Oryctolagus cuniculus: one gene and its partner. The main gene of each other region encodes a partner of the protein of the gene in region 2 in a complex. Links are inferred from orthologs where the notes say so. Each region holds a gene or a part of one and is shown on either strand. Other genes may lie near its edges.

Region 1 (3,517 bases), on a different chromosome or scaffold from region 2:
ACTGGGAGTCAGCTGAGAGAACACGGGCAGACCAGGGCTGGCTCGCGCTCCACATGACCGTGAGGCCAGGCAACCCCGATCCCACATGTGGGCACCGAGCGCCCCTCACGGCCCCCAGCAGGGTGTGCCCCATGTTCTCTGTGAGCACTCCTGAAGCTGCTCTGCAGGCCACGAAAGAAGCCTGCGTGCGGAAGGTGTCAGGTTTGACATGAGGGGACTACGAGACCCCCTTCTCAGGCCCTCCATGTTGGAGGAGGTGCATCCCAGGCCAGTACCCACAGAGCCAAGCGCCAGGGCCAGCACAGAGCATGGGCTCTCCTCACACCTGCGGGTGCTAACGCCAGGAGTCCACACTTGTGCAGGACCAGCTAGCCCTCAAAAGAACCTGAGAATTCTCCTAGGAGAAACCGATCCGTGTGTGGCACAACAGAGAATCAAGGAACCTTAACATGTGCTAACCCTACCCACCACCCTACCGCATCCAGAGCGTCCCTGAGCCGGGGCCAGCCACGGCCACCTGCGTCTCCTTGGCCCCGCTGCACTGACACCCCCACCGTCAGATCAGGGAGAGGGACGCAGGGAGGGCTGGGCGCCAGGCCTCGAGTCTCTCTCCTGCCGGTGCAGCAGGAGGAATTCAGGGCTGGCCTACCCCTGCTGTGCGGCACCCATTCCTGGTCTGTAGGAGGGCGTCCCAGGAGAGGCCAAGGGGGAGGGAGCGGCAGCGAAGAGTCAGTCCGAGGAGCCCAGGAGAGGTCGACCCCACCAGCCTTGAGTCTAAGAGGGACCGCACGTCCTAGGCACGTTGGGGTTTTAGTCACTCACAAGGGGATTACGGTCATCTTGCTGACTCTGACCCTTGAGCTTCTTCTTGAAGATGGAAATCGATGTAGAAGGCTTATAAAAAATGCTCCAGATTTCCCCTGAAGTCCCTGGCTGACGACAGTCCCGAAGGTCCCCGGACGCAGGAACACGATGGGATCTGCCAAACAGAAAGTTTCAAAGTAGCACGGGACAAAGCACCCACAACACTGACGTTCACACGGGACGTGCAGCAGGCACCTTGCTGGTGAGGGCAGTGGCCTGCGGCAGCACAGCACCGGGGCAGCCTCACCTCGGCAGCTCTGCCAGTAAGAGAGCGCTGCTCCGGCCGATTGCGAGTGTTCAGATTGCGCTTCATTTTTATTATTATTATTATTATTATTATTATTATTATTTTAAATAAAAGAGCTCTTTCTTCAAATGCCATTTACCTGGAAGGCAGCCTAGCTAAAACAGGACAAAGCAAACCCCCTCAGCCTGAAGTAAGGACCCCACCCTTCGGCTTCTGCCGTCCTCCGCGCTGGCCCTGCGGTCACAGAGCGCGGTGTGCCTTTTCACAGGGGCGTGCCCAGTGATGCCTCACAGAAAGCGTCCTGCTCTCTTGCTGCTGTGGGGAACGTGCAGTCGGCCTCCCCAGAGCGTGTGAACCGTAACTGACAAAATGCAGGAAAAACCACTGGCCCTCCATCTACACAGCGTCCACACCGGCACGTTTAACCAACAATATCGTGCTTCTCTATGTTCTTTATAGCGTGGTTATTCCCCAACAGTACAGTGACTACTCGTGCGGCATTTACATTGTGTTAGGTATTATAAGAAACCTAAGGGACTGGGAGGATGTGCTCAGATTATAGGCAAATACTACACTACAGTCTAAAAAAGTTATTTCTCTTCAGAGAGACAGAGATCTTCCAACCATCAGTTCACTCCCCAAATGTGCACAACAGCTGGGGCTGGGCCAGGAGCCTGGGACTCCCACGAGGTGGCAGCCATCACCTGCTGCTACCCACGGTGTACACTGACGGGAGCCTGGGAGTGGGAAGTAGAGCTGGGACAGACCCAGGCCTTCTGACACAGGATGCACGTGTCCCCAGTGGAATCCTAACTGCTGCGCCAAGCACCCGCCTCCTCCCCCACTTTATATACAAGGGGCTTGAGCAGCTGCAGGTTCTGGTATCCAGTGGGATCCTGGCACCGATCCCCCGAGGATGTTGAGAGACAACTGTATACAGAGGAAGCATGAAGGAGTTCAGTAAACTGCTTCAACTGGAGAGAGTTCACGACCAGGCGGGGAGGTCTGCTACGGCAGCCCCAACACTGCCACAGGCGGCCTTCGCAGGACAATGGAGGGGCCTGCATTTCACATGTAAACAGTCTGTGGCCGAGGTGGGGGGAAGGTCAGAGGAAAGAGGCCTCTGTAGAACATCTGTTCCGGAAGGCCTTGAACTGGGAGAAGAGCCTGAACTGGGAACCACAGGAAAGACCAACCAGGGCTCTAGAAAACATTAGGGAGAACTGGGGTGGGCAACTGACTTGGGAGTCAAGACTTCTTACCCGAATGCCTCTGGTTCCTGACTCCAGCTCCCTGTCAGTGCACGGCAGGCAGCAGCGAGGCTTCACTAGCTGGACTCCTGCCACCAACATGGGAGGCCTGGACTGTGTTCCCAGCTCCTGGCTTTGTCCTTGGCACGGGCCTAACCGCATGGGCATTTGGGGAGCGAACTAGCAGATGGGAACCCAACTAACAGAGGGGAACCCCTTCTGTCTCTCTTTCAGCTTTTCAAATAAATAAATACAAGTTAGGAAAAAAAATAAGGACAACTCCCCTTTGTAGGTTCACAAACATCAGAACAAACTCCCCTCTCCTAGGAGGTGAAACTGTTAAACCCAAACAGCAAAGTCAAGGGAGGAATTTTTTTTTTAATGAACTTGGTCAGAATCAAAGGGTGAAGTTTCTGTAAGTTTCTTAAATACATTTTAAAAACAATTATTAAACTATAGTGAACAAAACATTAGAATTCTTTTCCCAAGAACGCTTTCCAGTTTCTGGAAGACAACGGGAACATGTGTGGTTCTGTCCCAGGAATCTTCATTCTCTCATAAAGATCTCTGAGTAAGAGCCCAGCATGAGCCAACACAGGGAAAGGGTTGCTTTCATGCCAGGGCTGTTTCAATCCTCCTTGAAATCAGATCCTTTGGACACAGGGGCAGACCTAATGCTCAGGCCCCAGTGGGCTCTGTCCAGTTGCACATTTCACTCCAGGGAGGAGGATGGGTTACTGCTTTTTGCTGCCCAGGACTAAGGGATTTGGAATCACGTTCTGATACCACCGTGCCCTGAGTGACGAAGCGTATTAGAAGAGGCATTCTCTGCCCCACCCCCACCCCCGGAACGGGCAGCTCTCTCGCATACTCACTTGAATGTGACGTGCAGAAGTATCTTTGCTACAATGGCTGTGACTGTGAGGATGAGGAGAGTTGCTAGGCCATACACTGTCCACCCTGCAAGTGAACAGACAGAGTTTACTGGGCCTCTTTGTGCCTTGTTTCCAAACTGAGGTCTAACAAAAGCCCCAAGTGAACACTGGCAGCTTGGAGAGGCAGGGCTGGCTGAGGGGCCCCTGCAGGTGGGCACCGGGGAAGGTAGCCAGCAAAAGGTAGCGGACTGGCTGACAGCCAGGCTGAGCAGGGACCCCGG
Region 2 (4,152 bases):
GTGAAATTTTATTTCAAAGACTATCACAGCCTAGTAGGAAATAAAAATCTAATCATTGAGATGGTACATTTTGAAAAATAAGCTCATATTTTCATGGTAAATTTTAGGTGCCTATCATTTCTACCAAGAGTTCTTTGCCTTTTCAGACTCTAGAATTAAAAGGGAAAGGGGCTATACACTTAAGAACTGGAACCATAAACTGAAATTATTTATTTCAATTCAATATAGAATATTTATCAGAGTCAAGGTAACAATGTATACAAACATTTACATAACAAGAGAAACAATAGACAATGTAGCACTTTTAGAAAAATAATTAAGAAGTTTCATTTCATTTACAGCTAAGTGCCACACTGAGAATTTACAACACAGTAATTTACTGCAATCACAGGGGAGTTCCATCAAGAAACAAAGCTCTTACACTCCAGATTTTCGGAAGGTATTATTGGAATGCTTAATGGTAATCATTGAATTTGTACATCCTTAGGACTGAGCTGAGAAAAGTCATAAGAGGTTTCCCTAGTATATATTATAGGAGTCCACCGCATGTCCACGACTGGTCTAGTGTCTCTGACAGGTGTGAAGCCGGGAAGAGTTACTGGCTTCATGTTGATCGTTCTGCAGCCGACAAGACAGCCCGTCTCCACAGTAACAGCGCTGGAAAATCTCCAGCCCATGCGAGCCCTTCCTCCTGTGCTTGGTGCACACTTGACCTTCCTTGAGGACGGGCTTACAGATCTTGGACCAGAAGTGCCTGGCGCAACACAGCCCCGTGGCGCAGTCTGATGAGCGAAGGCAGACGGAACCTTCCTGCCCTGCGAAGGAGGAGACAGCAGGAAAACCCGTCACTGCCAAGCCATCATCATTCCAGGGAGACAACTACAAAAACAGCTTAGGCATGCCCACGAATCAGGGCACCTTCCGCCTACCTTTGGCGTGATACATTTTCGAAGACAGGGTGGTTCTGCGGGAATACCCATCCGAGGTGCTGTGGTCGTTCCCGAAGCTTTCGACGATGGTTTCCTCGATTTCCCCTCGATGAAAATGATTGTGATCAGAAGGCATGCATATTCCTAAGGAAGCAGGTAACAGTGATTAACTCCCAGGCGGTAATGCTTTTTTTGCCAACAGCTGTGACAGAAGCACTCTGCGGTGACTGATGCACGTGAGGTACCTCTCAGGTGCAGGGGCATTATTTTAAGCACAAGGCAACTTTCCTCCCTAGTGTCCCTGCGGAACTCCCCAGCGGACAGCAGCATCCACGTGTGCACGGCTGCCTCCCGGGCATCAGTCCCGGTAGAGCCATTGAAAATACTCTCCCACAAACTGTGGGAGGGGCAGTGAGGTTTCTGCCCATTTTACTGTCCCCCTTGGAGTAAGGAAAAAGAAATCGTCATTGTTCTTCAACACAACTTCTCTGCTGCGACTTGGGGCTCTATGAGTCCTGCCAGACTGCGTCAAGCAAATGCAATTCCAGCTGCCCGGAGGATGCTGGTCTCACCAGTTCCCCGACGATGTCATTTCTCTATCACAGAGACTTAAGTTCGTCCCGGGGTCCAGCTGGGTCCCGAGAAGGGTCGCCACCCCGGAGGCTTTAACTTTTAGTGGCTCGGTGTGGGGAGGGAGGGAAGGGAAGTGCTTATTTTAAGGTCGCGAGGGTGGAAGGAAGAGTGAGGGGCCGAGAACCCCACGGGTGAGGGTATCAAGATCTCCCTGAAAAACGGCCAGCGCAGGTAAGTCACCAGACATCAGTTTCAAAAGGAGGAGCCCTGAGAGTCACCGTGAGAAAAAGGGACCAGGGCAGTGAAAGTCAGGGCTGGTCCCCCGGGTATTTCTCAGGGACCCCCTCCTCGCCCTCTCCTCTCCAGTCTCAACTGGCCCCCCAGGGGCACAGAGGAAAAAGCCAGGAGAACTGCAGAGTTCTGTCTACTGCTCCCAGGGAAGAGATCTGCAGCCAACTCCGCCTCCCGCTCGCAGGTGGCGGGCGCCCCAGCGCTCGCAGAGCCAGAGCCGGGAGCCAGCCGCCGGACTCACCGTTTTTGCAGTAATTCCCGGGGCAGCACATCGCGTGACGCATGCAGCGTTTTCGACGCTTCCTGCAAGCCAGACAGATTTGCACGCCGGCGCCCCCTCCGCGGGCGGGACTCGCGCAGTACTCATCCGTGCCACACTCCTCGTCCTCTGTGCACGGGTACGGCTGCGGGGAGCCGGCGGGGAGACGGTGAGGAGCCAGGCACCCGAACGCTCGTCAGGGTCACCTGGCTGAACCCCTCTCCAAAAGCCCTTGCAGCTCTGGGCTGCCGGTTCTCACCCTCAACCAGACACGCCCAGCACCCTCAACCTCCACCCTCGCCGGCAAATGGGTCCCCCCGCCCTGGAAGGCCGCAGCGTGGCAGCATCCCCCGAGACCCCGCTCACCTGATAGTTGTCAAGGGGCAAGTACTTGTTCCCGCCCTCGTACAGAATCCCGGGCGTGGCGCTGACTGCAGAGCCCGGGTGCCCGTTAGCGCCGCCCAGCGGCGGGGGCAGGTTCTTGATGGCGTTGGAATTGACCAGCACCGAGTTCAAGGTGGCGCTCACTCCCAGCAGAGGGTGGCTGCTAAGAGCCGCCGCTACCAGGGCGACCAGGACCCGCGGGGCGGCCACTGCGCCCAGAACCGTCATTTCAGAAGGACTCGGTGGGAGAAAGAAGGAAAAAGAGGAGGCACGTCCCTTCGCAGGCCCGGTCCCGAAGGAAGCCGTGCTGGCGCGGCTGCGGGGTCAGGGTCTCCGCGTCCCGACTGCCAGCCGCAGGCAGCACTGAACCGCCGCCGCCACCGCGGCTGCCTTTATACAGCGGGCTCGGAGCGTTCCGGCCCCTCCGGGGGTGGGGGGAGAGGATGACAAAGCCGGGATGGGATTTCAAAGAGTTGGGAGGGGCTGGCAGGGGGTGTGTTTGTGTACAAGAAGCGGGGCCTTTGACTCTCGTCACCCCGCCCCAACCTCGCGAGGTGTTCCCTCCGCCCAGCTAGCTTCGGGCTGACGCGTCTCGGACAGCTTGGGGCAGTGGACCGGAGGACTCGCTGGAGGCGGGAGGGACCCTGAGACCCTGGGTGCACTGGCCTGGCAGCAGGGCGCGGGCGAGACGGACCTGCAACAGGCTGCAGAGCCTCACGGTCAGCACTCGCTGCAGATCCGCTCTTCGCTCCTGGCCGGTCTTCCACCACCGGCCCTGGTTTGTCGTACAAGCAAAATCACATTCAGTGTTAGATGCAGCCTGAAAAGATTAACGCAAAGGCTCCAGCCGACCGTCCCTGCCGGAGGTGTACCAGGTGGCCGTTTGCAAGTTGCTCATGAGCCCTCCTGGAGTCGCGGTTTTGCAGGCGTGGGTGAGGTCCTAGGCTTGAGGTTCATCCAGTTGTAACCCCTATACACACACACACACACACACACACACACACACACCGCCTCCCGGCCCGGCCACAGCGGCAAAAAAAAAAAAAAAAAAAAAAAGAAGTGCAAAGAGAAGGGAATTTGCACATCAAACGCGGGTCAACAAGGAAGAAGAACTAATTCTCTTTTGATGGGAAGTTTAGAGAGGGAGGCGAGAGACTGGAGTTTGGAAATTAGATCAGGGGTGGTAGAGGGAAGAGGGAAATGGCCATCTGATAATCTAACTATTTAATCTTGGAATCTGAGATGACCTTGATGAGGCAGACGTGCGAGATCAAAGTGGCCCCGAGCCAGAGCGGACAGGGTCCCACGTGCTGGGTCAGCCTTCTTTCCCTGGGTCCGCTTCTCAGCGGTGGGTTAATGCAGGGGATAAGATCCCCCAAGGCTGAGCGCCTGACTTCCTCATTAGTGGTTCCCATCGCCCAGGCTTCGGAACGCCGGTGTTTGATCGCAAGTCTGTGCCTCCCCGCGACGGTGGGAGATAAGAGACTACCTTGGGGCCAGGGAGGATGGCAAGTGAGCCAGAAAGTAAATCAGACTCGTGTAAGATTTTGTAAAAATGGGAAAGCCAGGCTTCTGCCCCAGACTGTTGTCAGACTGCTGTACAAGGATGTTGTGCTGTGAGTCTGTTTATTCAACAAACACACCCTGGAAGCCTGATGCCCTGGCATCTGGCTGCCCTCTAGGAGGTTGCTTTTTTTTTTTTTTTTTTTTTTTTTT

The links. Proteins that work in one complex are often made in the same cells at the same time.
Region 1: the proteins of DKK1 (region 2) and KREMEN1 are in contact, whole or in part, in a crystal structure (PDB 5FWW), measured with the Homo sapiens proteins. The link is inferred for Oryctolagus cuniculus from reciprocal best matches to the Homo sapiens genes DKK1 and KREMEN1. Residues at the interface, in NP_036374.1 of Homo sapiens: Cys189, Leu190, Arg191, Ser192, Ser193, Cys201, Arg203, Trp206, Ser207, Lys208, Lys222, His223, Arg224, Arg225, Lys226, Gly227, His229, Gly230, Leu231, His261; in XP_011528731.1 of Homo sapiens: Pro67, Asn88, Asp90, Asp92, Ser94, Trp96, Gly105, Val106, Tyr107, Trp108, Tyr110, Asp127, His128, Gly129, Pro132, Thr140, Asn142, Glu164, Ser165, Tyr167, Ala168, Phe170, Asn189, Val191, Phe193, His196, Asp203, Gly204.

Annotation. Positions count from the first base shown.
Region 1 is NC_091452.1:22,586,494-22,590,010, reverse strand, and holds part of KREMEN1 (kremen protein 1), read right to left. Parts: intron 3,322-3,517; coding exon 3,237-3,321; intron 980-3,236; coding exon 811-979; 3' UTR 1-810. UniProt on the Homo sapiens protein: Receptor for Dickkopf proteins. Cooperates with DKK1/2 to inhibit Wnt/beta-catenin signaling by promoting the endocytosis of Wnt receptors LRP5 and LRP6.
Region 2 is NC_091446.1:45,399,020-45,403,171, reverse strand, and holds DKK1 (dickkopf-related protein 1 precursor), read right to left. Parts: upstream 2,806-4,152; 5' UTR 2,665-2,805; coding exon 2,419-2,664; intron 2,198-2,418; coding exon 2,035-2,197; intron 1,074-2,034; coding exon 930-1,073; intron 816-929; coding exon 562-815; 3' UTR 182-561; downstream 1-181. UniProt on the Homo sapiens protein: Antagonizes canonical Wnt signaling by inhibiting LRP5/6 interaction with Wnt and by forming a ternary complex with the transmembrane protein KREMEN that promotes internalization of LRP5/6.